Caenorhabditis elegans: one gene and its partners. The protein of the gene in region 3 interacts with the protein of the main gene of each other region in a pairwise test. Each region holds a gene or a part of one and is shown on either strand. Other genes may lie near its edges.

Region 1 (5,666 bases), on a different chromosome or scaffold from region 3:
AAATGACGTTTTCTTTAGTTTTGTTTGGTTTTTTTAAGTTTTTATTAGACCCGGAAGGTGTCGGCTGCTTTTTCTAAGCAATTAGGAAAATTATGTGAAAGTTGAAAATTTTTTGAGTATTTATTCCAAAATATTTAGTAATTTATTTCAACCCGGCAGGTGTCCGCCGCTGTTTTCACAAGTTTATACAAAAGAAAAAACGCCATTTAGCAGCTAAAAGTATAAAGTTTAAACAATTTTGGCAAATTTTTGGGGTTGATGCACCATGTTATTAAACAATTTTGCAATTTTCCTCTTCCCGGCAAATGGCGGCTGTTTGATCTACCAATTTTTGGTGAAAATCTTTTTTTTAATCGATGCACCATGTTTTGTACGTCTTCTAGTTTGTTAAAGAGATTTTGTCATTTAAATTGCCCCGGCAAATGTCGGATGCTTGAGCTACTAATTTTTGAGGTAGTGTGATCATTTAAGCAGCAAAAATTTATAGTGTTTAGGCTTTTTAATTTGTTGAAAAAATTTGCCACAAAAACTCAACCGGCAGGTGTCGGCTGCTTATTAATTTGGTTTTAATGAATTTTTTTTGCAATTTATGCCATTTTTCATTGTCGATTCACCTTGTTTTGTAGGCTTTTTAGTTTATTAAAGAAGTTTGCCACAAAAATTTACCTGGCAAGTGTCGGATGCTAGATTTATCTTTTTTGCAAATTTTTGGAATTATTGCAATTTTCATTGTTGGTGCACTATGTTTTGTAGGCTTTTTCAGTTTTTCAAGCCATTTTTTTTCAAAAAAAAAAATTACCAAGCAGGTGTCGGCCGCTTATCAAGCCGGTTTTAGGCAAATTTTTGAAATTTTAGTTAATTTTTCCTGTCGATGCAACATGTTTTGTAGGCTTTTTAGTTTATTGAAAAAAAATTTTGTTACAAAAACCCAACCGGCAGGTGTCGGCTGCTGCTATGCAAATTTCTAGAAAATTTATTCAATTTTTGCTTTCGATGCACCATGCTTATTTTCCGGCCTTTTTTATATTATAATTTTTGTTGTATAGATTTTGTCATCTACTTCAATTTTGGCAACAAATTCCCCTTTGTCGGCACTTCTTTGCAGTGTTCAATTCAGTGTGTCGCCTCTTTGAAGTTGACCGCCTTTTCCCGCCAAAAAGTTAAGGATTTTAGGGAATTAAGTTTATCGGTTTGGTGCATGTGTGGTCGAGAATCAAAAAGAGGGGCGGCGGCATTTTTCCTTTGATCTCTATTTCTTTTTGTCGGTTGTCCAGATGGGGCGGAAGATGAAGCCCTCCCCCGCTACAGACAGTAGTGTGGAGAGTTCCCTTTTTTGGTGAAAATTCTGAATTTTTGGGTTTTTAGGGTGCTTTCTGTAAATTTCCCAAAATCTCACAATTTCCGTGATTTTATATAGAGCAGCCGACATTTTTCGGGTGGATTCAATCATAAATTGAAATTTTTTGCTCTCGATGCACCATGTTTTCAGGCTCAGATTTACCTGTGAAGAGTCGGCTGCTCATTTCACCGATTTTTAGGAATTTGATGCGCCATGTTTCAAATGAGCTTCCCAGGATTTTTTTAGGCTTTTGTGCTTTTAAAATATTTTCTCTAAAAATTCAATAATGTTCCAATTTTCTTCACATTTTTTTTTCAGAAAACAATATGCTGGCATTTTTATACTTTGTGCAAATGTTGATAAATTTCCCAAAAATGATGGTTATCAGCTGGAATAATATGGTAATTCCTTTTTTGCACCAAAAAAATCAAAAATCAATAATTCCCCAGATTTCATTTCAAAAATTGCCATCATCTGCGCCTTTAAACTTCCGGGTGACTACCGTATACCAGCAAAATCCGGAGCTTTGGATGACTCCTGCTGACGTCATCAGGAGTACTGTAGCAGTAAATGCGTCGGTTTGCCACTTGACAATGTCAAAGTCAACGTGGCTGACGTGGAAAGTCGGAGATCGGGTGGTGGAGACGAGGGATTGCAATCAAGTGATAAGGCTTAGTAGTAGTGAGGTGGGTATCGAGAAAAGCGCCAAGGCACGAGAAATGCGGCAAGAAACCAGAAATGCGCCAATACACGGGAAATGCGACAACTCACGAGAAATGCGCCAAGGCACGAGAAATGCGCCAATGCACGAGAATTGTGCCAAGGCACTATACTGACGACAGGGCACAAGAAATGCGCCAAGGCACCAGAAATGCGCCAATGCACGAGAAATGCGCCATGGCACAAGAAATGCGTCAAGGCACGAAAAATGCGCCAAGGCATCAGAAATGCGCCAAGAAACGAGAATTGCGCCAAGGCACGAAAAATGCGCCAAAGCACGAGAAATGCGCCAAGTCACTAGAACTGCGTCAAGGCACCAGAAATGTGCCAACGCACGAGAATTGCGCCAAGGCTCAAGAAATGCGCCAACGCACGAGAAATGCGCCATAACGCCAAATTTGCGTCGAGATATGCATGCAAATTTCACTCAAAAAATGTTAGAGCTCTAGGACCAGTTTCAAGAAAGATACGAGGCTTTCAAGTTGAACAGGAGACCGCGACGCGACACGCGCCGCGCCTGAAAACTTTGCATGACTGTAACTTTGCTCCCAGTCGTCCTAGAAGTCTGAAATTTTTTGTGTGAAGTTTTGTGAGAAGCTGGCTTCTAATGAACAACAAAGTTTAAAAATTACTAGGGAGACCGCGACGCGACCGCGACGCAACCACCAAACTTTAGGTGGCTGTAACTTTGCTCTTAATGCTCCAAAAACTCCAAAACTTTCAGACTATCATTTCCGTCACCTTATCAACACCTTTCAAAACTCAAAAGTTCCTATCAGAATTGATAAGTCCTCCAGCCAAGCCGTATTGGCTAGCAGCAATCGGTGATTCTTACTCCTCTGGTCAAGGAAATCCGGACATTCCAATGACACATGGCTCACCCGCTAAATGGTTAGATGGTAGGTACAGTACCCCATTTCTACAGTAACCCAACATATTTTTCAGATTCGTGTTACAGATCTTCCAAAGCATTTCCATACTTAGTTTCTCAAAAAATCAAAAATGTGACGTCATCTCTTTCATTTTTATCATGTTCTGGGAGTACGGTAGATCATGGAATCTTGTCGAAAAATGGACAAATGGAGAGGTTGGAGCAGATGATTTTGGCTCGCGGAGCCCCGCCAGATGTGCTTTTTCTGACTGTTGGGGGCAATGATATCGGGTTTACGGATGTGATTTCAATGATTCAACGGGATAAATTGAATGAGAAATTTTTTGATATGAGGTTTGAAATTTTTTATATTTTTACATTTTCTGCCTAAAATATTATAAGAAAATGAAGCTATTTTTGCTCGAACTACCCTGAAAATTTTAGCCAAATCTGTCAATTCTCCACCAAGTTATAACGGTATGAAGGTAGTGGCCTAGTATTGGATTTCTAGGCCACCAACTTAAAACCACTGTAACTCTGTTGAAATTTGAGGGATTTGGCTGAAATTTTATGAGCAAAATTCTTTAAATTCAATGTTTTAATCAAAATATTTATTTATAAAAAATGAAAAAATTTTCTGAGAAAATCAAAATTAAAAAAAAAAAGTTTTTTTTTCAATTTTTAAAAATTGTTTGATTGGACAAAAATTCACAAATTTGACGCCATTTTTGCTCAAAGTACTCTGAAAATTTGAGCCAAATCCGTCAATTTAGCACCAAGTTATGACGGTTTGAAGTTGGTGGCCTAGGTTTGGATTTCTAGGCCACCAACTTGATATCAATGTAGCTCGGTTGAAAATTGACGGATTTAGATAAGATTTTTTGACAAAATTAGTTGGACGACGGACTATTTGAAAACAAAATTTTATTTTGGAAAAAAAATTGTTTTTTATTTTTCTGAAAATTTTAAAAATTTTAAAGCATTTTTTGAAAAAAAATTTTTTTTTGAAAATTGATTTTTTAATTGATTTTTTAAATTTCATACAGTATTACATCTATTCCAGATTCTTTTTCGTATCTCATCAAATCGATCGGGTTGCAAGACGTCTTGAGGAGCTTAATATTACACGCGTAGTTATTCTTGACTACTATGACGTCACCAGAAATGAGAAGGGAGTGGTGGACGGGTCTTGCGGCGCTTTTGGACAGGCATGGTTGTTTTAAGTGAAAATTAAGAAAAATCGATATTTATTGATTTTCATTGAGAAAAATTATTTTTAATTTTATTAATTTTTTTGATAATATTTTTTAACGAAAAATTTTCCAAAAAGCTCTGCCGGATTACTGTATTTTTTTTCTCTTTCCAGGTCTCCCTACCAAATCTCCAGCTCGCCGAGCGCAAAATCTTCCAAAAACTCAATAACCTACTGCGACGGAAAGCAAAGCAACATGGCTGGGTTACCGTAGACACTACGGAAATATTCAGGACACGTGGCATTTGTTCAAAGGATTCGTTGATACGGTAGGTACAGTAACCCGGAGTACTGTACTCCAATTTTTTTGAAAATAGTTTGACTGTTTCTGTCTCATCAAGAGCGTTCAAATGACACCCCACATGACTAAGTTCCGATAACTTTGAATATTGACACAGCTGAAGTTGGTGCTACAGTAACCCTCGTGGCGAGACCCAAAATATGAAAAATTGCTAGAACCCAGGCATGATGGGTGTTATTTTAAAGGTCTCGGTGAAACAAATTCAATGACATTGGTTTCAGCTTGCTCAGGTTACAGTAGGTCAGGTTACTGTAGATTTTCGTGGTGGGACCCAACATTTTCTTGAAACAATTTTTTTTGGTTAAAAAATAGTCTTGATGGGTGTTATTTTAAAGGTCTAAATGAGCTGAATTCGAATTTTTTAATTAAATTGTGTGAAAACCAACAGTTTTTCAATTTTTCCGCCGGAACTTCTCTAAATTGTCGTATTTCAGGTCCCGTAACGAAAGTATGCGTCTCCAGGGCAACGAGTACGGCAGCTTCCATCCAAATGAAGATGCTCATGTAATAATTGCAGAGAAAATATTGAAATTGGATAATTTGGGTTTTTAAGAGTTTTTTTTTTTTTTTGGAAAAAAATTTTGAAAAAATTGATCTCCTGTAAATTTGATCTCTGAATTTTTATTTTTATTTTTATTTTAATCAATAAACAAAATTTATTAATAAATAAATAGTTTCTTGCAAAAAACTTAAAGCTTGGAATAGTGCCTAAAACAAAAAAAAAATCATTAAATTAAAAAAAATTAAAATTTCGGGAAAAAAAATTTTTTCAAAAAATTTTAAAAAATCAATCACAAAACTGCTCGCACTCTTCCCGGGTTCTTGGATGTGCAACATTTTGCTCTTTCTGAAATAAAAAAATAATTCATCGATTTTTCAAAAATCCCGCCAAAAAATCACTCACCAAACAATACCCATATGGGAAACTTTGGCAGACCCCGCCCACTTTTTCCCATCGATACACAAATTGGGATGAAGCACCGGAAGAGCACAAGAGACGATATGCGGTTGCTGAGCAGCTTACAGATTCTGGAAATATTGATTTTGAACGATTTGGCGGGAGTTTGAAATTTTGGGAAAAAATTCGAAATTTTTTTTCAAATTTCTAAAGTTTGTAACTTTTTTCGTTTTTGATATTTTTGAATTCGGTAAAAACCAATTAATAACACAAAAATTGACCTAC
Region 2 (3,368 bases), 4.9 Mb from region 3:
ACAGCGGTTTTCAGAAACTCCGTCTTATTGGAATAAATGTTCTTCTGGTGATTCCCTACAAATTGCAAGTTTAATTTTAAAATTCAATTTAAAACAATTACTGTTTCAAAAAAATATTTTCAATATAGAATTTTTTGAACTGACTAGTATGCGGTTTTTTTTGGGAGCAAGTAACTATTTTTTGTTGCCCATATTTTTTTCGGCAGATTTTTCTCAAATTCGCTTCAGTTTCCAAAAAATGTCAAATTTTGATAATTTAAAAATTTTACTGTTTCAATGAAATTTCATAGTTTTGAATATTTTTTCAAAAGGTTTCACAATTTTCCTAACGTTTTGTCAGTTATTTCTAAACTCAATTGTCTGCTTAATGCAAATCCTAACAAGCTAGACACTAAAAAATTTTTTTGCAACTATTGGAAAAAAAAAGTTTCACTTTCTCAATGTCCATTAATTATCACACTTTTCATTTCTTCACTCATCGTTTTTTTTCACAGAAATAAATGATTCAAGGTCTTTTTTAAGATTTATTATATAGTTTTTTAGTGTTTTTTTCAAAGAATTATGTACAGAATGAATAAATATAAGTACCCGACATGAAAATTGACAAAAAAAAGTTCACAAAAAATGTAAATTTTTGTGAAAAATTACAAAATAACAACTAAAACACTAATGTCTAAACATTTCTATGCAGTTGACCTCGGCGATGATGATTCCACAGAAGATTCCGGTGATTCGGGTCTCGACGAGAGTGGGCTCACTGAGGCGGAGGAGGTGAAGAATTGTTCAAAGCCACGTGGCAGCGAGTTTTCTTTCCCGTTGAGCTGAGCCTGGAGCTCTCGGATGTGGGCGATGGTGGCCATGACGAGCTCGTATTGGTCAGTGTCTTCCTCGGCGGCAACCAATTGTCGGAGTCGGTTTGTTACCTGGAAATTTGAAAAATTAGAAAAAAAGTGGAATTTTTATATTTTGAAAAAAAATTTCTGTTTCAGAAAAAAAATGTAACATTTCAAATGTTGTATTTTTAATAATTCGTCGTAAAACCAAAAAAAAATATTTAGACACCAGACTACAAACTACAAAGGAGACGGACGTACGATATTTTTTTATATATAACTAATGATGATGATATTTGGATTTTTCAGTTTCAAATACAGATTTTTTTTTAAATTTTTATTCAAACTTATAAAAAATCACCAACTTTTTCCTTTTCTCTTCTCTCTGCTGACGTGGATTTTCGAATTTTCCTTGATTTTGGTGAAACGTGGGAGATGGTGTCACGTTGTGGACGAGCAGAAATATTCTTCATTTTTAGGAAAAGGAGACGAGTAGTTGAATAGCGGTCTGTGAAGAGTCAGAATGAGAATGGAGGTCCAGTTGGAGGGAGGAGGCGGGGTGTATCTGTGTACACCCAGCTGCTGTCCAGGCCACGCCTACCACAGGTGCGCGCGAGTACGGGTGGGGGGAAGAAGATAAAAGGGTGGAGAGAGGGAAAATGCCGATAGATAGACTGGGAGACATTTTACAACGGTATAACACAACAACAACGAAAAAAAGAAGACTGATCTCGGGCGGGCTCGAACCACCGACCTTCTGTGTGTTAGACAGATGTGATAACCACTACACCACGAGACCGCTGAGAAATGTGGGTTGGCGGGGTCTAGAGGAGCGGGAGGTAAACGGGGGAATTGTTTGGAATTTTTTGAGTACCCTTTTCAATACTCCAAGATGAAACATTACTTTTTACGTTTTTTTTTTAAATTATTTTGAGAAAAAGAAATGTTTAACTTTGTTTTCAAAACTCCGGTAGATCTACTATCATCCAAAATAGAACACATTTCTTAACAATATTCTGAAACAATATTTTTTTTTCAAAAGTTCACGAAAAATGTCAAATACTTCCAGTTTTGTTTTCAATTATTAAAGTTTCAAAACTGTATTTAAAGTTATAATAGTTTGAAAAAATTGAAAAAGCCTATCGACATAACATCGTTCAAAATGGAATAGTTTTTTTTTAAAGATAATATGAAACAGCAAAAATGTTTTGTTTGAAATTTAATTTTACGAAAACTAAATAATTCATTAAAACTGCGTCATTTTCATATGAAAATGTGTTAAAACAGCTTATAATTTTTTTCAAACAATTAAATTTTAAAAAAATCATTCCACTATTTCAAAATGTTCATTAAATTTTTGAAAAAAGTTGTTTCCAGTACTTATTGTTCTTGTAAGTGTAAAGTATTAATTTGAAGAGAAAGAACATCATCACCCGGTACTCATTATTTTACTATACAGATTCGTTGAAACAGTATATTTTCTTTGGATTAAATGGTTTTCTCTGATTCATCAAGATCTGAAATGTGCATTAAAAGTGCTTTCAAAAAGTTTCAAAACATAAGGATTTTGAAACAGTAATTTTTTTTCTTCAAATTTTCTCACAGATTCCACCTGTACTCTTACAAAACCCAATTACTGCCCATACCCGCCCGGAGCAGCTGTATCAATTTTTGCCCCCGAGGGGGCGAGCAGCAGTTGATGAGCCCCTAAGAAGTTGAGCTTTTCCTGCATCGAACAGCTGCGCGCATTTTCACTTTTGCACCCTTCTAGGGGGTCCACAAAAGCAGAAACGACTAGTACGAATTTTGGGCAAAATTGAAGATAGGGGGTCCCCTGAAATGGAAATGTGTGGGAGGGAAAAGAGGCTCTTTGAAATAAAATATTGGGCGAATGGGAGAACACAGAGGGACCGGGAATAAAAATAAAATTTAGTGGAAAATGTTTTCACTGTTTCAATAAACTATTTTCTAAGATTGAGTACTTAATGAAACAATATTCCTCTTTTTCTTATACAAGTGTAATATAAATTTGGTATAGTATAGTTCGTAATAGTCAAACTTTTCTGCAACCAAACTCGGAACGATTATTTTTTTTTAAATTGATAGATTTCTAAAAATTGAATTTGAAATTTTTACTGTTGCAGAAATATAGAAAAAAAACGTATTAACTCTAAAAAAAATAATGGATCTAAAGATTTTTCCTTAAAGTTTTGCATACAAAAATTCAAAAAAAAACCAAACTATTTTCAAATTCCTACTGGATTAACGGGTTTTTTTCAATAATTTTGCAGTCAACATTTTTTGTAAAATGTTGTTAATTTTAAACCACAGTTGCGCGGGAATTGAAAAATATTTTATTTACTTTTTGAATTTTTTTTTACATTTCTTACAGTTATACTTAGCCATTACGATCTATTTTATTAAGACTGTTACGAAATAATTTAAAAAAACAGACTCGGATTTCTATAGGAACGTTAACATTAGGAATTTCCTTTATTTCTAAACTACCTAAAACAGTAGAACAATTTTTTCTCA
Region 3 (5,293 bases):
TCGACCAAAAAATGGTTTTCCTACATTTTTTATACTGTAATTTTGTTTTAATTATTTGTATCAAAACATTGTAGGGGTTGGAACATGCGACATTGCTTTGGATTTCCTTAGCATCTATAAATTCCGAAATAATGTTGCCTCTATTTTCGAAACCACCCTTCAAAAGGCCTTTTTCTTCATTGCCTATGCAAATTTGTGCTTCTGAAAATAACATAGGCTTGTACTCACTCTGAAAACATCATAAATTATAAAGATTCTTGAACTCTTACCGTACATCTTTTTTAAGTTTGTGTCTCTGCAGGAAATCTTTATTTTCCGATTCATAAAAGAGTACTGTAATTTTGATAAACTCCCTTTCAATGAAAAACTCCCATTTTTGTAGTAGTACTTTTTTATCATTTTCGACTTGTCACAGAAAAAGAAGTCAATTGAAGTGGAAGGAGCAAGAAGAAAAGGTCCGTTTGTGTAATTGAAACAACCTACTTGTCTCATATGTTATGCAACACGTGTTGTCGTTTTTGTCAATTATTAGTAAAGAAAATAAGTCGGTCGGAAAAATGGAAATTAGTTTGCACCCTGCCATTTTTTCCTTCTTCTTTTCCTCACTCCCCCACAGACTCCCGCCTCCCTTCCTCATTCACAATAATTTCTTCGTGTTTCCAGTAATAACCGCTAGGGGTGAACGAAGAAAAAGAAGAAACACACGTTTAAGCCTTGAAAGCTGAAGCTGCTTCAGGCTCCGCCTTTTAAAGGAAGGAAGCAGGAGGAGTTGCATTATGCATCAGGCTTGATCTTGTTCGGCGAAAATTTCTAGTTATGAGTCATTTTCACTTTCTTTTCGGAGAAGACATTGATTATAGATGTCACATTTTTCTAGACATCATTTTTATAATTTCTAGGTTCTATGTTTTTGTTTAGTTGGAGGATCCTTGTTTTTCCGTGTTCTTCAGATAATAGGCTATTTTTAAGAGTTTTCTTGAATTTTTAAGCTATATTATTTTTGAAAACTCACGACTTAAATATTGCGATCTCAGAATCCTTGTGTGCCTTCCGGAAATCGCATCAAAATTGAACATAATTTTTCATATTTAATACGTAACTGCTATTTCTAAGAGAGAAGGCTCGCTGACATTAATGTTTAAAATGGTGTATTTTCTTTCAAATCGGCTCCATGAATTTGTGAATTTTGTTGTCAGCTCTAACTAGGGTACTCTGTGAATTTAAGTGGAATCGAGTGTATGAAAACCTTGAAAATGTTTTCAAATTTATTAACAATACGGAGTGGGAGCTACAACGGTAGGGTGTCGTTGCGGAGTTCCCCGTGCTGAAAATTTTGAAATTTCCATTTTATGATGGTTTTTTTTCTTTTCAAAATTTTCTTCTGATCATATTAGTGACCCAATTTCCTTGTCAATCTCAATGAATCCTCATTAATATTCGTTTCCTGTTTTTTCTCCAATCTCTCATTTCACCCCAACGACTTGGCTATATATTTTTGTTCTCCTCTTCTGGAATTTTTGAAAATTTTAATTTAAAAATTTTAAATATTTACAGAAATCAAAATGGAGGGTGGTCGAAACTGTGTAATGACAGTACAACAGTGGCAACCTGAATACAATGATATGAACCAGATAAGAGCAATATTCTCGTTACTGTACCTTCTTGTTTGGGTTGGAGCTATTGTTGGCAACACTCTAGTACTTTATGTACTCACTTTTAATCAGGTATTTTTTGTTGAGAAAAATCGACTTTGTTCTCGAGTTTATATGAGAAAAAGTGTTATTTTGTTGAAAAACCTTGGTTATAATTTCTAAAAAAAAATTTTAAATTAAAATTTGTACCATTCCGGAATTTTTTTTTTGAAACAATCAGAATACTACATAGAATTTTTTTTTTCAAAAAATACGAGCGGTTCCCCCTTTTAAGAGGATTTTTGAGGACTTCAACTTTCAGTTTTGAAAGTTCTTAGGCTTCATTAAAATCTTCCGTATCTCTCTTCTCGCATTCAATTCAAAAAAATTGTTTTTGATACTACCATCATCTCAAATTTCCGGTATTTTATTCATCGAATTTCCTAGTGAATCAAGAATCTTTCATACATGATTGAAAGTACAATTACCGAACCACCTCCAGAATTCGTCATTGAGCTCAAAGTGCCCGAAAAGAGTTCATTAAGCTAATTTGCCAACTTCAGGTATCACTGTCAGTTAGGACGGTATTTGTTGGATGTCTAGCTGGTTCAGACCTTCTAATGTGCCTTTTCTCGTTGCCAATTACCGCGATTTCTATATTTTCAAGAGTTTGGGTATTTCCTGCTATATTTTGCAAGTTGATCGGAGTTTTCCAGGTGAGATTTGTATAAGATTTTCAGGATTTATAAATAAATGTCTAGACTCTGAAATACTGTGTATTAATCAGAATAACAGGAGCGAACAGAAATTTGAATTAAAATCAGAAACTTTTCAGGGCGGTACGATTTTTGTCTCATCATTCACATTAACAGTTATTGCTCTGGACAGATGTGTACTAATTCTACGTCCAAATCAGGAGGTAGGCTCTCCCCAAAAAACAGTCCAGAAGTTCTGCAGTAAACTTTTCTGAGCAGATAAAAATTGATGTGGTTTGGAGCCTTCTTTTTCTATGCCTCTTTTCATTATTTTTTCCATGTATTATTGTCGAGAATGTCTTCCAAGTAAAAATCTTCTATGTATTTCTTTGTGTGTTTAAGTACAATATTAATGGAAACTTGTTCTTCTTCAGAATATGATCTTCTGAAAGGCGGGAAAAATAATTAGACTGGTCATTTTATTTTGATCCTTGGACAATCAAGGACTTCAACTTTCCCGTTTTGTAGTCGTTTTTTCAATCGGGAAACTGTGTTAACCTACCTTCCTGTCTTCAAGGCGACCTACGCCTACCCGTTAAAAGCCTTATACCAGGCCGACCGGGGCGTAAGCTTGAAGAAAGGTGATTCTCTAACATGATAACATCCTTTTCATGGCGATCTAAATACCCTTGATACAATTTGATTTTAATTTAAAAATTGCGTTTAAAATAAAATTTTTAATTTAATAATCTATATAATTTGTCTAAATTTTTAAATTGCAGATAGTAAATTTCCCGAGAGCTGTCTTCATTGTTTTCTGCATTTGGCTTCTCGGATACTCTCTAGCACTTCCTGTAGGCATCTACAGCGACATTGCAGTATACGACGAAATTTGCGGCACATTCTGTGAAGAGAATTGGTGCGTCATTTGTCTCATTGATTTGACCAATTATCTTGCATTATTTCTTTTTCACTTCCCATAATTATCCCAATTATTTTCATATATGTTTTCTTGCTCTTCTGTTCTTTAAAAAACGTTAATCACATTTTCAGGCCTGATTTCAATCCGGATACTGGAAGATCGGGAATTCGAAGAGCTTATGGACTTTCTGTGTTGGTACTTCAATTTGGTATTCCTGCATTGATAAGTTCAATTTGTTACTGGATGATTAGTCGAGTGATGTCAGATCAATTAGCAAGAAGAAGAGGGCACAATATTCGACCGGAATCTGAAACAAAGCTGGTGAATCGAAAGACAAGAGCTAATCGGTTTGTTTTCCAAAACTTTCTTTTTTTTTTAAGAAAAAATTATAAATTTTAAAGTGAATCATTTGTCAGAAAATGGACAAAATTCCAAAACTTAAGAAATTTTTCCTTGAAAGATTTGTGCAATTCAGTTTCTCAAGAAAAAAAAGAGTTGATTCACTTCAAAAATTCCGTGTTACCATCCAAACAAATTTACTCAAAAATTTCCCAAAACCCTACTCGACCCAATTTTTTTAACGAAGTTTTCATAATTTTTAGATGATCTGATTTTAATTCGTTTGTAATATATTATTAATTCTGCATCAATTGAATACATTTTCAACATTCGAATCGGCACGTTTCTGCAATCCCCAAACCTGAATTATTAAGCTCTCTCTGTTATTTTTTGTTGCAAATTTTGTACCCCGTTGCAAAAGACACAAATAGTCATTTGTATTAGCATGTCAAACCTTGCATAATTTGACAAAAACCAGGAACTCCTAAGGGAAATAAAATACGAAGCAAAAAAAAATAAAACAAACAAAAGAGACTACATTCTTTTTTTGTATTCACTGCAGTATGCATGACTGATGATTATGATGGTGACTATGTATGATCATTTTTCCAAAAGAAACAAAATCTGGAGAATTCCAGGAATTTCTTCAAATTATTTTTCTAATTTCAGAATGATGATCGTAATGGTTGTTGGATTCGTTCTCGCGTGGATGCCATTCAATGCAGTCAATCTCTACCGTGACCTATTTGGAATTTCTAAATGGTATTCTACAGTCTTTGCGCTTTGCCACGTATGCGCAATGTGCTCCGCTGTGCTCAACCCAATCATCTATTCCTGGTTCAATCCTCAATTCCGACAAAGTATCACCACTTTGTTCAAGGGTACTGATGAAGCTAGATTGATCAAGAAGAAACCACAATCTACCAGTAAAATGGTTTCGTATCCGACTAATTTCTCCGAGGTTCGTTTGCTTAAAAAAATAAAGTATATGTAAATTCAACTTCAGATCCGAAAAGAAACAGAAATTGCATCGACAAAGACAAAAATCACAATTGCTGAAAACGACTATCGAGCTGGAGATCAACTTTTATAAACGAACTGATTAACAATTTTAGAAACTAATCTGTGATGATTCTACCGGGTTGTTAGATAAAAAGCTTTAATAAATTGTATTTGTTCTAAAAAATATTGTTTGACAAACAAGTAGTCTCTGAAAATTGTCATTTGCCAAAAAAACCTGTTAAAATGATTTCGACAAAATACAACTTTCAGCTTGTTTTTCACATTCTTGTTGACAATTTCAAAAAAAAGGAAAATTAATTCCGAATTAATCGGATTTTTTCTATAATTTCAAACTCTTCTAGATTAATATTTGATGCACTGGGTGCCCCCGTCACGCCTCGCTGGAAATGTCTAATGTAGATAACCGTAACCGGCAATATTATAATTTGTCCAAACGTTTTGCTGCACACCTCTAATGCCCATTTCCATTCCTAATTCAGTGAATACAACTTTTGTTACAAACTACCAAAGATTTATACTAGAAAAAGGCAAATACTCAAAAAAAGTTCGAAGCAATCTTCTTCTTCTTTCTACTTCTTCTTTTCGTGAAGCTCAATTTCCTCCGAATCCGTCGTCATCTTCTTCTTATCCTCATTTCCAGGTGTCAACGCATTACTTGGTGTTAATGATGAGGCTGGAGTCGT

What was found.
Region 1: the proteins of npr-3 (region 3) and Y39B6A.7 interact in a two-hybrid assay, tested with the Caenorhabditis elegans proteins (one large-scale study listed by BioGRID).
Region 2: the proteins of npr-3 (region 3) and spig-12 interact in a two-hybrid assay, tested with the Caenorhabditis elegans proteins (one large-scale study listed by BioGRID).

Annotation. Positions count from the first base shown.
Region 1 is NC_003283.11:19,145,147-19,150,812, reverse strand, and holds Y39B6A.7 (SGNH hydrolase-type esterase domain-containing protein), read left to right. Parts: upstream 1-1,655; 5' UTR 1,656-1,665; coding exon 1,666-1,740; intron 1,741-1,788; coding exon 1,789-2,025; intron 2,026-2,197; exon of another isoform or gene 2,198-2,362; intron 2,363-2,783; coding exon 2,784-2,958; intron 2,959-3,004; coding exon 3,005-3,284; intron 3,285-3,419; exon of another isoform or gene 3,420-3,492; intron 3,493-3,684; exon of another isoform or gene 3,685-3,762; intron 3,763-3,993; coding exon 3,994-4,138; intron 4,139-4,296; coding exon 4,297-4,451; intron 4,452-4,917; coding exon 4,918-5,035; 3' UTR 5,036-5,160; downstream 5,161-5,666. Other genes in the region: cpg-23 (BPTI/Kunitz inhibitor domain-containing protein), read right to left, coding at 5,271-5,330, 5,388-5,512.
Region 2 is NC_003282.8:16,380,872-16,384,239, forward strand, and holds spig-12 (BHLH domain-containing protein), read right to left. Parts: upstream 1,345-3,368; 5' UTR 1,307-1,344; coding exon 1,199-1,306; intron 1,050-1,198; exon of another isoform or gene 1,026-1,049; intron 924-1,025; coding exon 684-923; 3' UTR 507-683; downstream 1-506.
Region 3 is NC_003282.8:11,458,430-11,463,722, forward strand, and holds npr-3 (Neuropeptide receptor 3), read left to right. Parts: upstream 1-1,554; 5' UTR 1,555-1,562; coding exon 1,563-1,724; intron 1,725-2,194; coding exon 2,195-2,347; intron 2,348-2,466; coding exon 2,467-2,550; intron 2,551-3,108; coding exon 3,109-3,245; intron 3,246-3,379; coding exon 3,380-3,595; intron 3,596-4,256; coding exon 4,257-4,548; intron 4,549-4,593; coding exon 4,594-4,680; 3' UTR 4,681-4,770; downstream 4,771-5,293. Other genes in the region: C10C6.3 (PH-15 domain-containing protein), read right to left, coding at 5,180-5,293. UniProt on the Caenorhabditis elegans protein: G-protein coupled receptor for flp-15 neuropeptides. Receptor activation assays suggest binding to predicted flp-15 peptides, GGPQGPLRF-NH2 and RGPSGPLRF-NH2. Likely involved in Gi/Go-coupled signaling pathways.